Linked DNA regions of Arabidopsis thaliana. The protein of the gene in region 3 interacts with the protein of the main gene of each other region in a pairwise test. Each region holds a gene or a part of one and is shown on either strand. Other genes may lie near its edges.

Region 1 (4,517 bases), on a different chromosome or scaffold from region 3:
GTTACAACTTCCTCAACTAAATGTTTTGGTTACTCCTCAACTTCTATTCAACGATGTAGTAGATAATTTATCTATTTGTAAAGAAACTTAAGTCTCCAGCATTTGAAACTAACAGAAAGAGTGTGATTTTATTCAGATCATCAAAGCAATGATCGCCATATGCATATTCATCTACTAATACTACTAGATGGTCATGTTTCTGACAATAGAATAAATTTATACTGTATCTGTAGGTCTTGAATGATTGTTTGAAAAAATTTCAATTGTTGAACAATATTGTTTTTCTAGGATTTTATGTCTCTTCCTCCTTTATTGCCTCCTTATCTTAACATAGAGAATACCTCAGTTTTTCCTCATTCTCTTTGAGATATGAATTGAGTGTTGCATATTCTTTTGAATTTTATCCATTCTGAAAATCTAGAAGCATCCAAAATTCGTTTCTTCAAATCTTCAAAGTGTTTATCCTTTTTTAAGGAATACATATTGTTTGTTCTACATATTTTATGCCTAACAACTTGCCTTCACTCTCCATTTTCACAATAAAAATCATAACATTTTTTTTTTTGAATATATTTGGAAATTCAAGTCTTTAGGTCCTAACATTACACACTTTAAATTCAAAAACATAACTTGAAAAGTAATTCAAATTCTCACGAAAGCGGTTAGAAATCTTAAATTACAAACCACACTTCAGTTTTTGCCGTTGTTTCCTCCATACTCAAAATCTTTAGTTGGTTTTTTTAGAAACTCATAAAACGAATACATTTGAAGTTTTAAATAAGAACTTTTTCTCTCTAAATTAACGGTAACTATGGTACTCCCATTGTTTAAAAAAATATGATGTTTAAACACAAAGTTTAAATAATTAATTTATCTTTTTATATATTTTTTCTAAATTAAAAACATAATTTAATATTTAGTTAATTAAAGTGAGTTTGGCCAATGAAATTCGTTACTGCATAATATATATATAGTCATAAAAGTATATAAATTCTACGCTTGCATAGAAATTTGAATTATTTGTCTAAAACATCTTATGTTAAGAATCAAAATAATTTGGCTAAAACAACTTATAATATAAAACCGAGAAAGTAGTGTTTTGGAGTTTTTATTTATGTTTTCTGGCTACTCTTTAATGTAGCCATTTAAAGTAAAAAGAAAATGAAACCAAGTATATATATAAGAGTGAGGACCCTTTTCATAAACAGAAGGATTTATTGCTTCTAAAAATTAAATTGTCTAGATTGTTTTCTATCTTTTCATAAGAAGAAAGATTTATTGCTTAAAAAAAAAGTAAATATTCAAAGATTTTTTTTTATCTAATGATTACGAAGTGAAAATATTTGGTTTTATTATGTGGCTCCTAATTGGTCGTTACGAACAATGTTTGTTTTACGAACACTTGTTATCCACAACAATTTTCAAGGTGTTCCACAACTATATTTTCAATAGATCTTTTACACATTAGATGTTCATATCTTGAAAACGAAATATACTATGTGAGAAACAACTCATGCCAAATTGAGAAAACTGGAATAATATATCAGCGGTTTGCAAGTAAAATTTCGTTGCATAATAAAACCGGAGTATAACTTTCACGCGAAAATCCATTTTAAAATCAAAATGCTGGAAAATTTACGAACATAGATTCGGGATTCAAAAAGATCTCTTACTAGATCCTAAGATCATGATGCCTACATATTCACAACGTATACAAAATTAATACCATGAGCCATGGGGATTTTCTACTTTCATAAAGGATAACTAGAAGATGGAGCTAGTAGTATATGTTTTTTATGGTAATTGACATTTATGCCTAGTTCATTGTGTTTTTTCGTAATGAACTGCGAATATTTTGGTGATTCTTTGGCATAAACTAATCTAAAGCAAAGAAGAAAATAAGAGTTAACTAAAATTCCATTGTCTTCCATTTGCTTTCGTTAATGCCATGTGTTTTGGTGTTGTTGATGTTATGTTTAGTCTTCTATGTGATATTTCACATGGAAGACTACACATAACACCAACAACAACAGAACACATGACATTAACGAAAGCAAAACATAATAACAACAACAACAACAAACATGACTCGATAGAGATACAAATTCTCACAAAAGCATTACAACCCTAAAACCCAATCAACACTTTTCAATTACCGCCGCTGCTTCCTCCAATTTCCCCAGCTGCCTCCTCTCCGTCACCAGGCACCGCCGGCCACTCCTGCATCTGTGGCGGTGACGCGTACACACCATTACAATCAAACACCGGATATCCTATCACCGTTCCCGGAGGAAGTACTTCACCGTCCGGATGTAGCACGGGATCATCGGTAACGACGGAAGGGTCTCTTGGGACAACGTCGCCAAGGAAGGTAAATTTGAAACTACGAGTCGTTGCGGCGGAGATATCGGATCTCGTGAGCGTATCGGATCTCTTGAGAGTTTGGCGACCGCCCTCCACGGTATGAAGCCACGATCGCATTGTGAGATCAAGAATGAGCATCTCACAGGCCTTCGATATAAGGACCGGAGCCTCTGCAGTGACCATGTTCACTTCCGGGTTGGACTTCATGATTTTCTTTATCCTGGTTAGTGGAAACGCATGATGCTTAACATCAGTTGCGTTTCCCATCTGCGCAATCCAATAATTCCGCATCTGCGGTGAGTACGGCAGCGGCAGTGAATATGACGGCAACGGCATTGATTGATAATACAATGGTGGCGGCGGCAGTTGGGAAGACGATGGTTGCGGCAGGTAGTGGTTGTTGTTGCCGTTGTTCTCTTCCATTTTGATCTTTACGTTTTTCTTGTTCACTTTCTAGGCTAGGGTTTCCATATTTAAAGGCTGATTAAGTGGGCTACGAAATCAGCCCAACTATTTTCTCAAAAATAAAATTTATTTTTTATTAATATTTTGTTTTGTGTTATACAATATTTACTAATATATGTGAAATCCCAAAATACAAAACCTCACTTTCTATTCATTATAAATTTTTGTTAACCAATACTTTTTGGATTTTATAAATTTTAAAACTTATAAAATTTAGATAAGGTGAAAGCTATTAGTCAACTATAGCTTTAGATAAGGTGGATTTTATACTAACCAATTTAGGGAAGTATGTGAAAGCTAGCATATGAGGAATGTCGTCAATGGTTTTGTGCCCAAGATCTGATTAGTCAAAGAAGAAAACTATAAGTGGTGCCTTGGAGTGGTAATTAGTGGGAAGATACCAAACTGAGAATTTTCTAATGCGCAATGGAAAGTATGTGGAGTTTCCGCATAGATAAGGTGACTTTGGCTTCGAGTGAAAAAGCTATAGTTGTGTACTTAAAATCCAATGCTTGGCCTGCTTCTTTGTGTTATCATTCTTAGGAGATTGCAAATATTGTCAGCATTTCAAAGATGCAAATATGTATGTCAATTTGTCTTGTGCATGAGACCGATCTAATCTGAAGCATTAATTTAAAGGTAGCAAAGGAACATGTTTCATCATTCAAAGATATCTCAATGCAGATAACAATTCCAAATCAATGAAAACACAAGTGGTGGAAAGAGATATTTGAATAGATGGTTTTCGCGCCAAAGTTCGTTAAAATATCAAGCTTAAAATTTAAACATCCAAAGATATTGTTTATGTAAAGAATATGTTTCTCTTAACCTTAGATATTATTTTTAAAGGAAATAATTACTACTTTTAGGGCCGGTCCAAACATAATTTGCCGTCACCTGTTAAAAAGAAATTACAAAAGTTAGGAAATTAGGATCGAACTGGTCACCTAAAGCGGATATCCATCAACTTTTCGGAAATAAACTTTTTATGAAATGATGCGCCTATATATTTATATAGAGAGTTCTTTGCCTAAAACCTTTGTTTCATGAGATTTTTAGGCTTTAATCGAAAGTCGAACCTGATTACTTGAACAAACGAATCATGCAAAATCTAGAAAAAACAATGATGAGTTCAACATTTGGTGTGAAATTTAGTTAGCTGGATAAAAGCAATCAAACCAGATTATTTTTTATTGATATGGAGTTATTGAAAACATTTATGCATAGTCCTTGTGATGATAATCAGCCCCATCCCAAATAAAATTAGAGATGTAAGGTTACCCAATTTGTTTTTGCTATAAAAAGCTTTATTTAAAAAACAAAATCAGGCTTATTATTTTTAAAACAAAAAATGGGGTTTTGAACTATAATTTTGGGCTAATTATAAGTTGTTTTATAAAATATGGGTTTTTTATATATCAATTTTACTTCAAAAATAAAAAAAGTCTTGACCCTCACACCTTACGACTCACCCATTGGGTCGAGGTTGATGATAACAAGCTCGGCCCAAATAGGATGGGCAAAAGGGCAGTAGCCCATGATTCCATGATTTTTTCTGAATTATTTTTTAAAAAGGCCATATTTTATAAAAAAATTAATTTGACTGAAAATATCTAATAAATGGCCCAATATATTTGGAGAAAAAAACTTTTACATGAAATGGGGCCCTTAATATTACTTTAAAAAAA
Region 2 (6,280 bases), on a different chromosome or scaffold from region 3:
TCTCCCTCAAACAGGTTGAGTATCCCATCACATTCTCTCTTTACTTTATAAATGACTTGTGTGCTTATCCAGGCTAATCGTTTTTCCCTACTTCCTTTTAGCCGGGTCCTAGAGGATCACTTGTTCAATGCTATATTATGAGAAACCGCAGCAATCAAACCTACTATCTATACCTCGGGTTAAACCAAGGTGAAACTAACAGATGCTTCTTCTTTTCTCTTTGCATACCTAATCTCTTTCTGAATAACACTCAAAGGTTTACTTTTTCTGGTCCAGCAGCAGCTTCAAATGATGATGGAAAGTTCCTTCTTGCTGCCAAGAGGTTTCGGAGGCCAACTTGCACTGACTACATCATCTCCTTAAACTGCGATGATGTCTCTCGAGGAAGCAATACCTATATCGGAAAGCTTAGGTACTTAGCTACAGATTGACCCCATGGTTTTTTCATATATTTGCCATAACCTTTCTCTTATCTTAACTTTCTTTCAGATCTAACTTTCTGGGGACCAAGTTCACTGTCTATGACGCTCAGCCGACGAATCCTGGAACTCAGGTTACCAGAACCCGTTCAAGCAGACTTCTCAGTTTGAAACAAGTGAGCCCGAGAATTCCATCTGGCAACTATCCTGTAGCACATATCTCATATGAGCTTAACGTCTTGGGTTCCAGGTGATTTATCTCCTTGCTTACAGATACATTGTGAGATAAAACGGTAGTTGCTTAATATGGCTTTTGCTAATTGTGAACATTGTCGTATCATACCAGAGGACCGAGGAGGATGCAGTGTGTCATGGATGCCATCCCTGCATCAGCTGTAGAACCTGGAGGAACAGCTCCAACTCAGACGGAACTTGTCCATAGCAATCTTGATAGTTTCCCCTCATTCTCCTTCTTCAGGTCGAAATCAATTCGTGCAGAGAGTCTCCCTTCTGGTCCATCATCTGCTGCTCAGAAGGAAGGACTGCTTGTCCTGAAAAACAAAGCGCCCAGATGGCACGAACAGCTCCAGTGCTGGTGCCTCAACTTCAATGGGAGAGTCACAGTTGCTTCCGTCAAAAACTTTCAGCTGGTAGCTGCTCCTGAGAATGGACCTGCAGGACCTGAGCACGAAAACGTGATTCTCCAGTTTGGAAAAGTCGGAAAAGATGTGTTCACAATGGATTATCAGTACCCTATCTCTGCCTTCCAGGCCTTCACCATTTGCCTCAGCAGTTTCGACACCAAGATAGCATGTGAATGATTAATTCCATCAAACCCTGTGACTCCGTGTTTATTTAGTTGTATCATGTTGAAAGAGAAGACTGGTTTGGCCTCGTCTTAGAAGTGTGTGTACATAGTTTCAAAAGTCTTGGCAAGTCCATACAAGAGAAGAGTCAAGAATCGAAGACAGTAGATTGTGTTTGTTGTTGTTGTTGTTGCATTGTGTTGCTAGTGATTGTAGTTCCAGACTATGATTTCATTTCTCTGATAATTAATTTGATCGTTTTTTGGGTAATATATATCCACACAGAGCAGAAATTGAGACATTTGAATTATTATATTTAAGATTGAATTTGACAAACATCTGCAATATCCTATACAGAGATAGCTTTAATATTATTCGAGTGACCAATGGAGTCAGATGTGGTCAATAATAGGGTGGCAGAAGTGGCGGTCCTTGTGGCGGTGGGCCGCCAAAGCAATCTCGTAGCAGCCAGCAGCAGCACAGACAAGATAGACTGCAAGATTCCACAGTCAGACTAACCACTTAACTCTTTACAAAACACATAGCAAAACAGAGAATGTCTTTACCAGGAACATATCATGTCGGAGAACCCAGAAAAGAAACCACCAATGGGTGGGAAGAAGCCTGGTCCTCCCGGTGGCAAGAACCCTGGTCCTCCGGGTCCTCCTGGTCCTCCGGGGCCCATGACAGATCTCTGAACAGTGTGGTGAAGATGTCTCCAAGGGATTTAGCGCTCTTAAGACAGGAGAATAAACAGAGAAGGGCTCTTATATACAAGTTTGTTGGGGCCTAATCTTCAACGTCAACAAACAGTAAACGAAGAGTGAGAGATGCAAAATTGCTTCAAGCTGCAACCACTCTTCACCAAATGTTCAAATCCAAAAATATTAACAGTAAAATTAACCATCATTAAAATAAAGAACTCCAAGTCAGATTCATATTTGAATTCTAAGAAGAACATAGAGAATATAACCACAACTCTGATACATGATTTAGTGCTTACTGATTGCTCAACAAGTAAAACCCACTCCAGATTCCTTGTTCAACCAAAACTTACTTTACTTCTCAGATTATCATTGGGACAGATTCATCGTAGCAGGAATGATCTGCCAAAAAGTGTTGTCATTTTTTTTTGTATTTTTATACTGCCTCAGATTATTATATATTGGTAGATTGCAAATAGTTGTTGCCGCGAGCCCATGCCTTTGGATGTTTGTCTTCATCGGCCATCCAATTTCATCTGAATAAAAAAACAAGAGTGAAAGCTGCGACGGCAGCGGAATTTCTGTTTCGCCGGCCATCGGGAAGAGACGCTTTTATATTTGGGCTTTAAAAGAAAATGGCCCAAACATGCCAACCTATATTGGGTTTACTATGTTACAACTTGAGCCCATAATATCAATTACATCAAGCCCTTCTTGCTCCATGGATCTTTAATGGGTCCAATCTCACTTTCTAACATTACAACAAGTTCTTTTGCTGCTTGCTTGTCTTGAGATTGTATATAACTGTGAACCATGTTTTGTTCTGTGCTCGTCCATGCTTGCCCTTTGGCAAATTAGGAATCGGAGGCAAAACAAAAAAAAAACTATTCTTAAGTGACAATTTTGAGAGTGTGGTCGATATACAGTGATAACTCCTAAGCTTAGAATACAAAAACTTATCTGATCATACACACTATATGATTCGATTAATACAAAAGATTTTTGATTATCAAAGTAACCTCATCATCATTCATGGATCTGCTGCCTTGGCGAAACGTCCCCTGATTCTTGTCCTGCTTTCTGCACGAACCTTGCGTGATTCATACCTGATGTGTTTCTCGTACCTGTTTCATCAACACATGATTCAAATCCCAATCCTATTGGTGGTGTCTCACTTTTTAAATTAGCTTGTTTACCTTCGAGACTTCTTCTTTTCTTTGTAGCGAGAGAGAGCAGAGTTCCTCTCAAGACTGTTGATCTCATGTGTCATCGACCTTGTACTAGTGATAACCGGAACCATCACAGTCTCTTCCTCACATCGGTTTAAGCAGCCGGAAACGGGAACCATCACCGATGACTCTCGGTCTACATTCTCAGGTTTCTCATCTGACTCCGACAAGTTCTTTAGCAGAGAGCAATATGGAAAGTCCTCATGATCTTGCTGATCGAACCATTTCAGTCCACTCTCCTTCATATTGACAAGAGAGATTTATAAGCTGGAAAATCATTTGACAAGCACAAGAAAACACAACCAATAGCAGTCTCTATTACCAGCTCGCATGTAGAAAACAAATCCGGCGCTAGGAATTGGAACCCGGCATCGATCTCAGCATCTGGGGTTTCAAATTTCAGACAACCAGGCTCAGATCTGGATAGTCCACGGAGCTGTCGGATCATCTCATCTTTGTATTTCCCGCAGGTGGCGTGACGATTCTGGAGCATTTCAAAACATTTCAGAGAAATATAAAAACCGAGCAATTGGCTCGAGAAAAAAAACAGAGCAAGTTATACCTTAGGCAGAGGAGGAACATCCGTGGCCCGGAAGTTATGAGTACCCGACCCGCCCGAAACAATAAGGTCGTTGAGGCTAACGATCTCAGGTGACTCCCAAAGCAATCCGGAATCGAGAGTGAGGTCATCGAGGCCAACGATGGCCAGCAACTCAGGCACGGAGGGACAGCCGGTAAATCCTTCAAAGGGTCTGCGGCTATGAAGGGAGGAAGAGGCGGTGTGGTGTTGCCAGTCGCAGTTCTGGCAAAGAACAGACCTTTCAGTCTCGCAGAAAAGGGAAGAGGGAGATTCGTTGCAGGAGTCGCAGAGAAGTGACCTGAAGTGTTTGGCGAAGAGTTGGTTGGCGACGTGGACTTGCTTGTCGCAGGCGAGGCAGAGCTTGGCGGAGTCAGCTTTGCAGTAGACAAGAGCCACGGAGGAGTCGCAATAGTCGCAGAGGCGGTCACGCTGATGACCTTCTTCTGCTTCCATGGGAGGAGCTTAGAGGAGACGACGCCGACAGTTTTGGTAAGAAGAAGAAGTTGATCTTTTCTTGGGATATTTTGGGGCAACAAAACCAAATTTGGTGGCTTATGTAAAAGCCATATCTTAATTGCATTCTAGGTAATGAATGACGTTAAAGTGACGACATATTTGCTTAGACAAAGTCAAATACATTTTATTTCTTGGGGAAGAAGCTGGAAACCTACACTCTCTTCACCTTCCCGTGCCTTTCTTTACTCATCTCTCTCACTTAACTCGTGAAAAATAGCTCTCCATTTTTATATATTGATTTTTCTTGATATATCGGATTAGCCTAGAATTTAACATAATATTTTGGCTACCACATATATAATATACAGTACTTGGTTAGATTTTTAAAAAGTAAATAAGATCATAACTAATGAAGGGCTCAAGAGAAAGAGTTAATGAAGTTGACCACGAATACATCTCTGAAGATTTTTTAAACCGGGACTAGTCCAGAAAATGGACGTGGCAAATTAGGGACGTTAGAAAAAGGAAGCTCGTTGTTGAGGCAGCGTTGGCCGATTTGATTAACTTTAAAGAAACAGACAAACGAAAAAAAGGACTTTGTCACGTTACCGACATAGCTAGAATGCTCGATACTGAATCTTTTCTTCTTATATTTGTTTTTTGTTTGCCACTATGTATATTAGGTGAAACGGAAATGGATCCCACCATTAATTTTTGATATTGAGTCCAAATCTGCTTATCTCCACTAATACCTCATCATCGTTCCTCGATAACTATTACTCCATGAAGGTAGTTTTCAATTAGAGTTTCCGTACTGAATTAAACCTATTCAAGATTAGCTAATACCATGCATAGTTTGACTTTTAGGGCACGATGGGGAAAAAGAGACAGGATGGGCAATATCTAACATTCCAGCGACACTAATAACATGATCTCGACAACTACTGCCCCTACTTCTCTTGAACAATAACACATATCACAAGATAATCTAGCTAGGTTGCTTTTCCATCCTCGTAACATACTAACATGGCTATAAAAACTCATTTTTCAAAAATCGAAATTGATTCTGAAGCCTTTAATAAAAATACACACAACTAAACTGAAACCAAATGTTCTACCATTTCACTTTGGTGGACTAAACTATTCGCATGAGCTACGTTCCTTTTTTAATTTTTGATTTTTTAAAAAATGGTCCACTTTCCAAGTAATCATCGGTTCTCGATATTTTCTTGGACACGAATCTTGAGCCTATAGGTGGATGCTTTTTTCACGCGCCGGTCAAAGAATCTTGAATCTTATAACAATGACAACAAAGTGAATATGGTTCTTAGTTCTTACACGTTCTGTACAACTTCCGATTAGATTCTCCTATATATTTCCCACGATCCCAAGAAGTTGGAGGTCAAGAAAAGTTGTTCCACACATCATGTAAAGGGATTCTACCTTTATTATTTCTTTTCGACCTTTTGAACTCAGTATAATCATATTTTCTTCAAAAAGAAATCTTCAAGGTCTATATACTACTATATAACTATAGAGGCTTTTACACGCTTCTTTTGATTGGAGAATCTTGAAGTAGTTGATTTTGGTAACTTTAAGTAACTAAAGGGAAATAATTATGGGTAACATATATAAGCATGCAAAGCGTAAATGTCAAATCCATTATTTAGTAACTAATTTACGTGCTTAAACCTGTGAGTAGAGTTTAATCTCAAGTGATAAAAAGCGGAACTAAGGAGAATAATATGCTTCGTTATCTATAAAGCTGATGAGAGGATCGTTAATGTACCGTATATAAAACAACTATTCATATGATTCGTTAGTAAAAAAAATTGTATTTTTTTCTTCTAACATTGTATGTTTTTATTGATTATGAGCATATATGTTTAATTTACTACACGAGCAACTAACGAAAAAACAAAGAGTTCATATATATAAAAAGGTGTACAATTTTTCATTAGAAAATAATAGTAAATTAAACGTGAAGATACTCAAGAATAAAGGAACGCAAAAAGAGCAGTGATTTTGTGTAGCCATGATATACTTGGACCGCGAAAGATCTTCCATCCTCTTCCTCAAACTGCTT
Region 3 (7,757 bases):
TGAAAAACAGGCCAACAAAGTTTTTTTTTTTTATCTCATAAGGGCTCTTTTTAATATTTGGAAAGTCTTCATTTGGTTACATATTGTTAGAACATCTTTGGCTCTCGTCCTAAACATCCGTAACTCCTTCGTCGTAATTCTGGTTATGTATATGATCTTTGGCTCGGGAACTAATTCAAAGAGTTCTTTCTTCTTCTTTTCTTTCAGTTATGGGTTTTGCATCAGATTTCGAGAAGAATTTCTTTAGCCTCCACTGAATACATTTTTCTCTTAGTCTAAACAACTCTCCAATTACATCACATATGCTCCTTCTTTCTTTCTTTTTTTTTTTGATATGAAATCAATCAAAGTGAAAAGCTTAGATTATACAATATAGCATAGCCTAGTTCTTTGTAACCTTGCCCAAAAAGGAATTTAAGGAAACATCAAAGCTGGGAAAAATATTGGGAGACTAACGCGCAAGCAGTTTCATTGATGGTTCTTTCTCTTTCGGGTACAAAAGTCAAAATCTGAGTTTATCATTGATGGTTCTCTTGTAGGCAATTTCTGATGGTTCTCTTTTTCTCCTTCCAAAATAGATAGTCCATAACTCTTTGTCCGTAAGTATAATTTCGATGATTTTTGTTTTTTGTTTTACGAGAACGTTCACGTCACCAGAAGTATAATATCATTGAAATTAGGTTTGGAAGATTACACAGTTTTGTAAAAATAGTTAAATAATTTGTATACCAATTTTTCTTGCACATTCTTTATTTTGTTTCTCGTCAGTCAAACGAAAACCTAATCTGAAATATATATGTGTTCTTACATAATGCCAAGCTTTAAAATTTCATTAGAAATGAGTTGTTCCCGAATAGTCCACTACTACAAATAGTTAATAACTGAAGAGAGAAAACTAAGATGGTATCAAATAGCACTTTTCTTTCACTTGAAGAACTTTTGACATGCGTGCATCTCATTTTTCATAGGAATCAAGTTCAGCAACTTGCCTAAAATCATCATAAAGCTATTATATTTCTTGGTCCATGCTGCAACCTTAATGGTTGTAAGTAAAATCAACATAATAAGCTATTATATTTCACATGGACCTGTCCTCTTCATCTTTCTCTTTGTCCTTCGCAATGGGTACATCAGATGTGGGTTGTACTGGTTGTTACCTTAAAATATTCGCGCTCATGGTTCCCGAGGCATCGCTGCCTGCCTGTGCAGGAGCTCAATGCCGCGATTCCATGGTTTGAGCCAATGGAAACAAACATTTATCCCTAGAATCATTAAGTACATAGATGTCAGATATAACATTGTTAAGGTTAATATTAGTACATAGCAAAACATTGCGTGTTACTACATTGGTATACTAATAGTTTAAAATGTACTATGGGATGTTACTTACTATCTTGGTATAGTTATTGATAAATAAAGATCTTGATGTTTGTGATTTCAGCTTTTGTCTCTTTGAACTAATCTCTTATATATGTTACTTGTTCAATCTTAGTTGATTAGAGCAAGAACATAAGATAGTTGAGAAGTGGTCCCAAGAAAGCTCTACATAAACTATAGGCTGCATCTTTCTTTCATGAATTGTTTCTAACTTTCTTATTTATTTGATGATATAAAACTACCCCATTTGCAGATAACCATAAAGCGAGCATGTCATAAGATATACAAATCTTGAAACATTCATATAAAATTTTAGGTTTAGTGTGCCCATAAGGTTGTGGTCCTCATAGTCTCGGGGTTGTTTTTTTTTTCTGAACCTATTACTCTCTCTATTCAAACCCTAGACCCTTTTGACATCTTTAGTTTTACGATAAACTAAAAAAAAAACCTTATCATCTCCCCTATTGGTTGTTCTTAGTTCTATTAGCTGTTTTTTTTTTTTTTTTTGGCAAAAGAAGAAATATTGACTTTAACTTAGTTGGATTTTTTTTTTTTCTTGTTCTTAAGTTTTGTAGAGACCAATCTACTTACATGTGAAATAAAATCTGGCAAGTGTCAACTTTCTAAGCTTCCTTCTCCTTTAATGTGAACTAATTACTTTCTGACTTCTTTAGGATTTCATTTTAAATGGTCAAGTCCCAATGCTCCTTTATTTTGGTTAACACTAGCCTCAGGCTCCAGAAGGCCATTAGGCATATGGGGATTAAAAAATATCATTGTTCTAGCCACTGTAACAGATCCATCAATGGATATATGCGGTAAGATATACAAAAAGCTCTTATTTTTTGGCCTATTATGTTTATGGAAAGCCTTGGATCGACCTATGCGGTGATATATATACCAAAAGGAAAAAGAAAACCAAAATCATCTTGCTAGTACCTTGTTTCTGCTATCTTCTCCTCTTCCTATTGTTCGAACCGACCAATATTCTAAGTCTAAATTACACGTTATTTGCTTGCAAGAAGAAATATCATAGATTTATATATATGTATGTAGAAACTCATGTTTAGAAATCAATTACAAACATGTACATTGTATTAATGATTCAACATTGACATTATTGAATCCTTCTGGTCTCTCTACAGATCTTTCTTGGCTTCATAGTAAATAATTCAGAACTTAGATGTCTAGTTCAACGGGCCGAGGAGCTGCTTCCCTTCTCAACAACTCTAATAAATTTTGTCGATTGGTTCTGTACATCACTTCTAGTGTTGGTTTCTTTCTCATTCCCACTATCATTGCTACCTTTGTTGTGCTCAGTTCTTTCTCTCTCGGCTTCACGGTACTTGTGAAGATGCCTACCCACGGCGTCAGCATAGTTATCGAGGCCGAGAGTGCTGAGAGCCCACCAGATGTCGTCTCCATTCACCGTCTTCCGATTCTCCCTGTGGCACTTCTCTGATGCTTCGCATGTAACAAAGCTTATGAACTCTGTTGCACATTCTTGAACTGTTTGTTTTGCTTCTTTTGAGATCTTTGCATTTGATGGTAGGATTTGCTTCATAAGTCTCCCTACATTGGCTATTGGCAACAATCTATCTTCGTCTGTCATTTTTCTCTTTTGTTTCAGTGAATCTATCAGCTCTCGCTTCTCTTATAACCTTTTTATACAAGTTGTCCTATATGACCCTCCCTCTCTCTATATATAGATTATATAGGGTGTGTATGTGTATGATGAGTAGATGTACTACTTGAACCTACTCTTAATTTATTACATACTATATATATAATATATGTCTAAGATTCTCTCTGTATATATGTATGTGAATTAAGCTTATATAAGCTATAGCAGAATCGTTTATACCTGTTTGGTGATTGTGGCTTAGCTTTGATCCATATGCATCATCAATCCGTCTAATACATACGGATATCTACGTACAGTACTGTATATGACAAGTTAATACTAAATTAATATCTAAAATTAAATCTTAACTTTAATTTTGATTAGAGCGTAGCTACTTTGGTAAAAGAAATTATTCTTGATGAAGCAATGGTTGGCTTATGGAATGTCAAAACCTTAATTGTATTATAGAAAATATGAAATTCGAGGCACGTAATCCGCATAATCCAGTACGGCCACTCGCATGCATTTGACCTTTGGTTTTAATATGTTTTAAAAATAAATACTTATTTAATTATTAGCAATACTGCGCAAAAATTCACCAAATCTATATAAAAGGCAATAGCTAAAAACAAAATATTGAGAAATTTCGTCGTTAGAAGTTAACCAATACAAATATTCAATGGGTCTATATTGGCCAAGTCATTGGTTTATATACTAAGAGCATGTGCATTTTAGATATGGGTTCAAACCCTAAGCATATTGTAAGCCACATGAGGCATTATGAAACGTCAAACTATCACGATTTTGTATCTTGTGGATTTGGATTTGGATTGTCTAAATATAATGATTTTATAATATTTTGTATAATCAAGAATTCCTAATGAATTGGTGATCGTAGGTGAACGTCTCTAGTCGAATATGTATCCTAATTTTTGGGGAAAATGATAAACCTTTCGTTTGGGAAAAAATATCGTAGAAGATGTGTGAACACACATTTTGTTCGAGTTCTTGCTAGTCTATTAACGGAAAGATGGAAAGTTTCAGGCATTTCCTTCTTCTTCTTTTTTTTTTTTTTTGGAGTTCTTAGAGCATTTCCTTTACATTCTGCACTTTATTCATGGTATAGAGAGGCTTAACTAATCATTATAATCTTTTTAAAGACATATATTTACGTAAGAACTTAGAATATACGCACTTAAAAAAAAAAACCTAGAATACGTCATTAATTAAAAACCGGATTATGCGATTTAAAAAGATGTTCTACATACTTCGAAACTGAGTTGACTTAACCATTCACAACCAATTAGAAAAAAAGTGTATGTAAAGTTTTATTTCTTTGTGAAAAGCATCACACTTTTTGCCCTTAATTTATCAATTGCATCACACTTCAATTGGAAAGTTGTTAACGGTCTCCTATTTTTTGCTTGCTAATTATATTGTATGCTTAAACATGATAATTAATAATTCGCCAATGCTGTCTTTTGTAACCCATGGAGTATTTTATTATTCTCATTTCATAGTGTATTGGTGGGTTTATTATTCTCTTTTCCAAATTCCAAGTCGGATCCCAAACTGAAAACAATTTTACGGTTTGCATGCCTTGAAATGATAGAAGAACCATATGGGCTTTCTGTTTTCTGATATTAAGTTTGTTTCACTTTTTCTTCGTCAATGGGTCCTTCAATTTTTAGCCCAATATTAACTTTGAAGTCCATCGACTGTTTTTTTAACCTTGGCTTAAAGGCTTCCATTCATCCACCTCGGCTTTAAGTGTTTTATCCAACACTTTTTTGAATTATTTTGGCAAAAGTACAACATATTGTTTGATCGTATGCCATATTTTGGATGTAAATTCTACTTCTAGTCTAGCATATGAGAGTTCAATATATATTATCTTGGGTCTCTTCATCATACACATTAAAAAGTATTATAACTGTTTTCTTAAAAATTTATATCATTTTAATATTGATTGAAATTGTAGCATGAAACGATATCATCAATTATCGTAAAAAGAAAAAGAAAAACCTAGTAGTAACACACCGAATCAAATAATGGAGAACACAAAACACGTCCACAACTTCAAAGTATATTTTTTTTTTATAACTTTGAACACTTAAAAGTTAAAACTGAAAACAATAAAAACACTCTAATAAAACCCTTAAAATAGCCAATGAAAATCTCCAAAGTGCATATAAAAAAAAAAGATCTTTATATTGCGACTCTCTCATAATATTTCTCTCCTTTTATGTGCCTCATTCTCCTCTCGAAGACTTCGTGTTGAAAGAGCGACCAGTGCTCTTTCTCTCTATCCACAAACACGAACAATTCTTCGTTGTCTTTGTTCCTGTTGCCAACTCCAGATTCTCAAAGTGCCACAATCTCTAACATTGCAAAGTTGAGACATCTCATAAACTAACTCAGGTTATCAAATCTATCTCCTTTTGCCGTGTTTGGCAATTCATGTTTTCGGGTTTGCTTTCCTCTTTCTGGGGTTTCTTGTGTCGCAACGCTACTGCTTTACTAGAAATCGAGAGAACTAACAATCGGGGATGCTTTTGATATCAAGTACCCAACTTTTGTTTTAGAATTTGTGTGTTCCATGTTTTTGTCTCTTGCGTAAAGATTTCGACTTTTCCTGCTTTTCTTGCTTACCATTGTCATATGTTCGTCTCTTGGTTAATCCTTTACGAGATCATTGAGAATTACATACAACTTTTTCATGTTCGGGATCGATGCCTATGGGTTTTGCTTTGATCAGGTCTGATTATGAATCTGGGTCAGTTGTTCTACGGAACTTGGCTCTGAAAATACTAGATTTTATCTCTTTCCTAGGCTTCGTGCTTTTGTGGGTTTTGCTTTAATTCCTGTGTCTGTGTTTGTTTCAATGATCAAGTCTTTTGATTGAATCGAATGTATTTGGTATCCCTCAACAACTTCTTTCACGATCTGAGGTAGTTGAATCTTCAGTTTGGTACCGTGATCTTAAATATCTGAGCTTTATTACTTTACCCCGTCGTGTTGCTCTGTACAATGTATGTATTTGAGCTCCTTGCGGTTTTGTTTGTATCTTTCATAGTTAATTTCAATGTTCATACTTAGGGTAGTGAATTTCCAAGTTGGGTCTTTTATCTTCGTGTTTTTGCTTCTTAGTAGTATCTATTTGCAAGGAAACTAGGATTGATTTCCCTTTGCTGTTTGATTTAGATGATGTTCACAGTTTTTATGTTCTTGAAAGGTTACATTTTTTCAGCAGTTTGAGATTCCTATGATGTTGAAAATGCAGTTCTTTTGTGCTTGTTCAGGTTTCACTACGTTGAGGATGGTTCTTCTGATGGGTGCCGAGAATAATCTTATGGAAGAAACAACAGCTGTTACCGAAGAAGATTCCTATGATGATGAGTTTCCCTGCGGAGATCCACAAGTTGAGCCTCGTGTTGGAGATGAATTTCAGGTCGACATTCCTCCTATGATGTCTGCAACCAAGCGTGCTGTGTTTCTTTCGACTCCTGTTGCTTTGGATGATTCGTCATATTCTTTTCTCATCGGACTACCTGTCCAAGTCATGTGGATAGACAAACATAGAAGAGGGCAAGGAAATGGAGATGACAATGTTGACATGAACCAGTCCTTGAAGTCTTTAAGAGCCAAAAAAAGCCGTTGCTCTGCCAAGATCAGAGGAAAGAGTGACAAGAATTCGGAAACCAAGAAGCAAAGATCGAATCTTGAGGCTGTTCCTGTGATACCGTCCAGTTCTTGGGAAGATTTGGAGGTGGCTAGCTTTGTTCTTGGTCTGTATACATTTGGGAAGAACTTTACTCAGGTGAAGAATTTCATGGAGAACAAAGGAATAGGAGAGATCATGTTGTTTTACTATGGGAAGTTCTACAATTCTGCAAAGTACCACAGTTGGTCTGAATCCCGAAAGAAGCGCAACCGCAAATGTGTATTTGGAAGAACGCTCTATTCAGGTTGGAGGCAACAACAATTGTTAACCCGTTTGATGCCTTCTATTCCTGATGAACCTCAGAAACAGATACTTGTGGATGTGAGTCTCTTTCACATCCTAATGCGGAATGCTTAACCACTGTATATTTGTTTTTTCATTGATCTTACTATTCGCAGGTCTCAAAGTCATTTGCTGAAGGTACTATCACTCTAGAGAAATACGTAAGTGCAGTGAAGAATCTTGTGGGTCTCAGGCTTCTGGTAGACGCTGTGGCGATTGGTAAAGAAAAAGAAGATCTCACGGTTCCTACATCAACACCAATGAAGACCAAACCATGGTTCACTGTTTCTTCAAAATCTTCTTTGGTCCCTGGAGAAGGGGATTACAATTCCCTCACATCGGCTGGCATAATAAATCAGTTAACTGGCTGTTCTCGTCTGAGCAAAGCCCGTTGCAATGATATATTCTGGGGCGCTGTATGGCCGCGTTTGCTAGCCAGAGGATGGCATTCACAGCAGCCAGAGGACCGTGGCTATTTCAAATCTAAGGATTACATTGTTTTCATTGTCCCTGGCGTGAAAAAGTTTTCAAGACAGGAGCTTGTCAAAGGAGATCACTACTTTGATTCCGTCAGTGATATTCTAACAAAGGTTGTGTCAGAGCCTGAACTTCTTGAGAATGAAACAGGAGGAGTTGCTGCAGAGCTTTCTTCTGACAAGTCAGATGAAGAGTCTGTCCCGTCTGATAGTCTAAGACACCGTTACCTCAGGTCTCCATGTTCTAACCGTGGAACTCTGGGAATGAAATTCA

What was found.
Region 1: the proteins of NF-YB4 (region 3) and NF-YC7 interact in a two-hybrid assay, tested with the Arabidopsis thaliana proteins (3 studies listed by BioGRID).
Region 2: the proteins of NF-YB4 (region 3) and AT2G47890 interact in a two-hybrid assay, tested with the Arabidopsis thaliana proteins (one large-scale study listed by BioGRID).

What each region holds. Positions count from the first base shown.
Region 1 is NC_003076.8:20,552,972-20,557,488, forward strand, and holds NF-YC7 (nuclear factor Y, subunit C7), read right to left. Parts: upstream 2,788-4,517; coding exon 2,149-2,787; downstream 1-2,148. UniProt on the Arabidopsis thaliana protein: Stimulates the transcription of various genes by recognizing and binding to a CCAAT motif in promoters.
Region 2 is NC_003071.7:19,606,156-19,612,435, reverse strand, and holds AT2G47890 (B-box type zinc finger protein with CCT domain-containing protein), read right to left. Parts: upstream 4,441-6,280; 5' UTR 4,192-4,440; coding exon 3,721-4,191; intron 3,643-3,720; coding exon 3,481-3,642; coding exon of another isoform or gene 3,400-3,480; exon of another isoform or gene 3,398-3,399; coding exon 3,126-3,397; coding exon of another isoform or gene 3,122-3,125; exon of another isoform or gene 3,054-3,121; coding exon 2,960-3,053; 3' UTR 2,149-2,959; downstream 1-2,148. Other genes in the region: TLP3 (tubby like protein 3), read left to right, coding at 1-14, 102-189, 277-412, 490-669, 766-1,240.
Region 3 is NC_003070.9:2,906,042-2,913,798, forward strand, and holds NF-YB4 (nuclear factor Y, subunit B4), read right to left. Parts: upstream 2,992-7,757; 5' UTR 2,990-2,991; coding exon 2,570-2,989; downstream 1-2,569. Other genes in the region: AT1G09040 (arginine-glutamic acid dipeptide repeat protein), read left to right, coding at 6,321-7,046, 7,124-7,757. UniProt on the Arabidopsis thaliana protein: Component of the NF-Y/HAP transcription factor complex. The NF-Y complex stimulates the transcription of various genes by recognizing and binding to a CCAAT motif in promoters.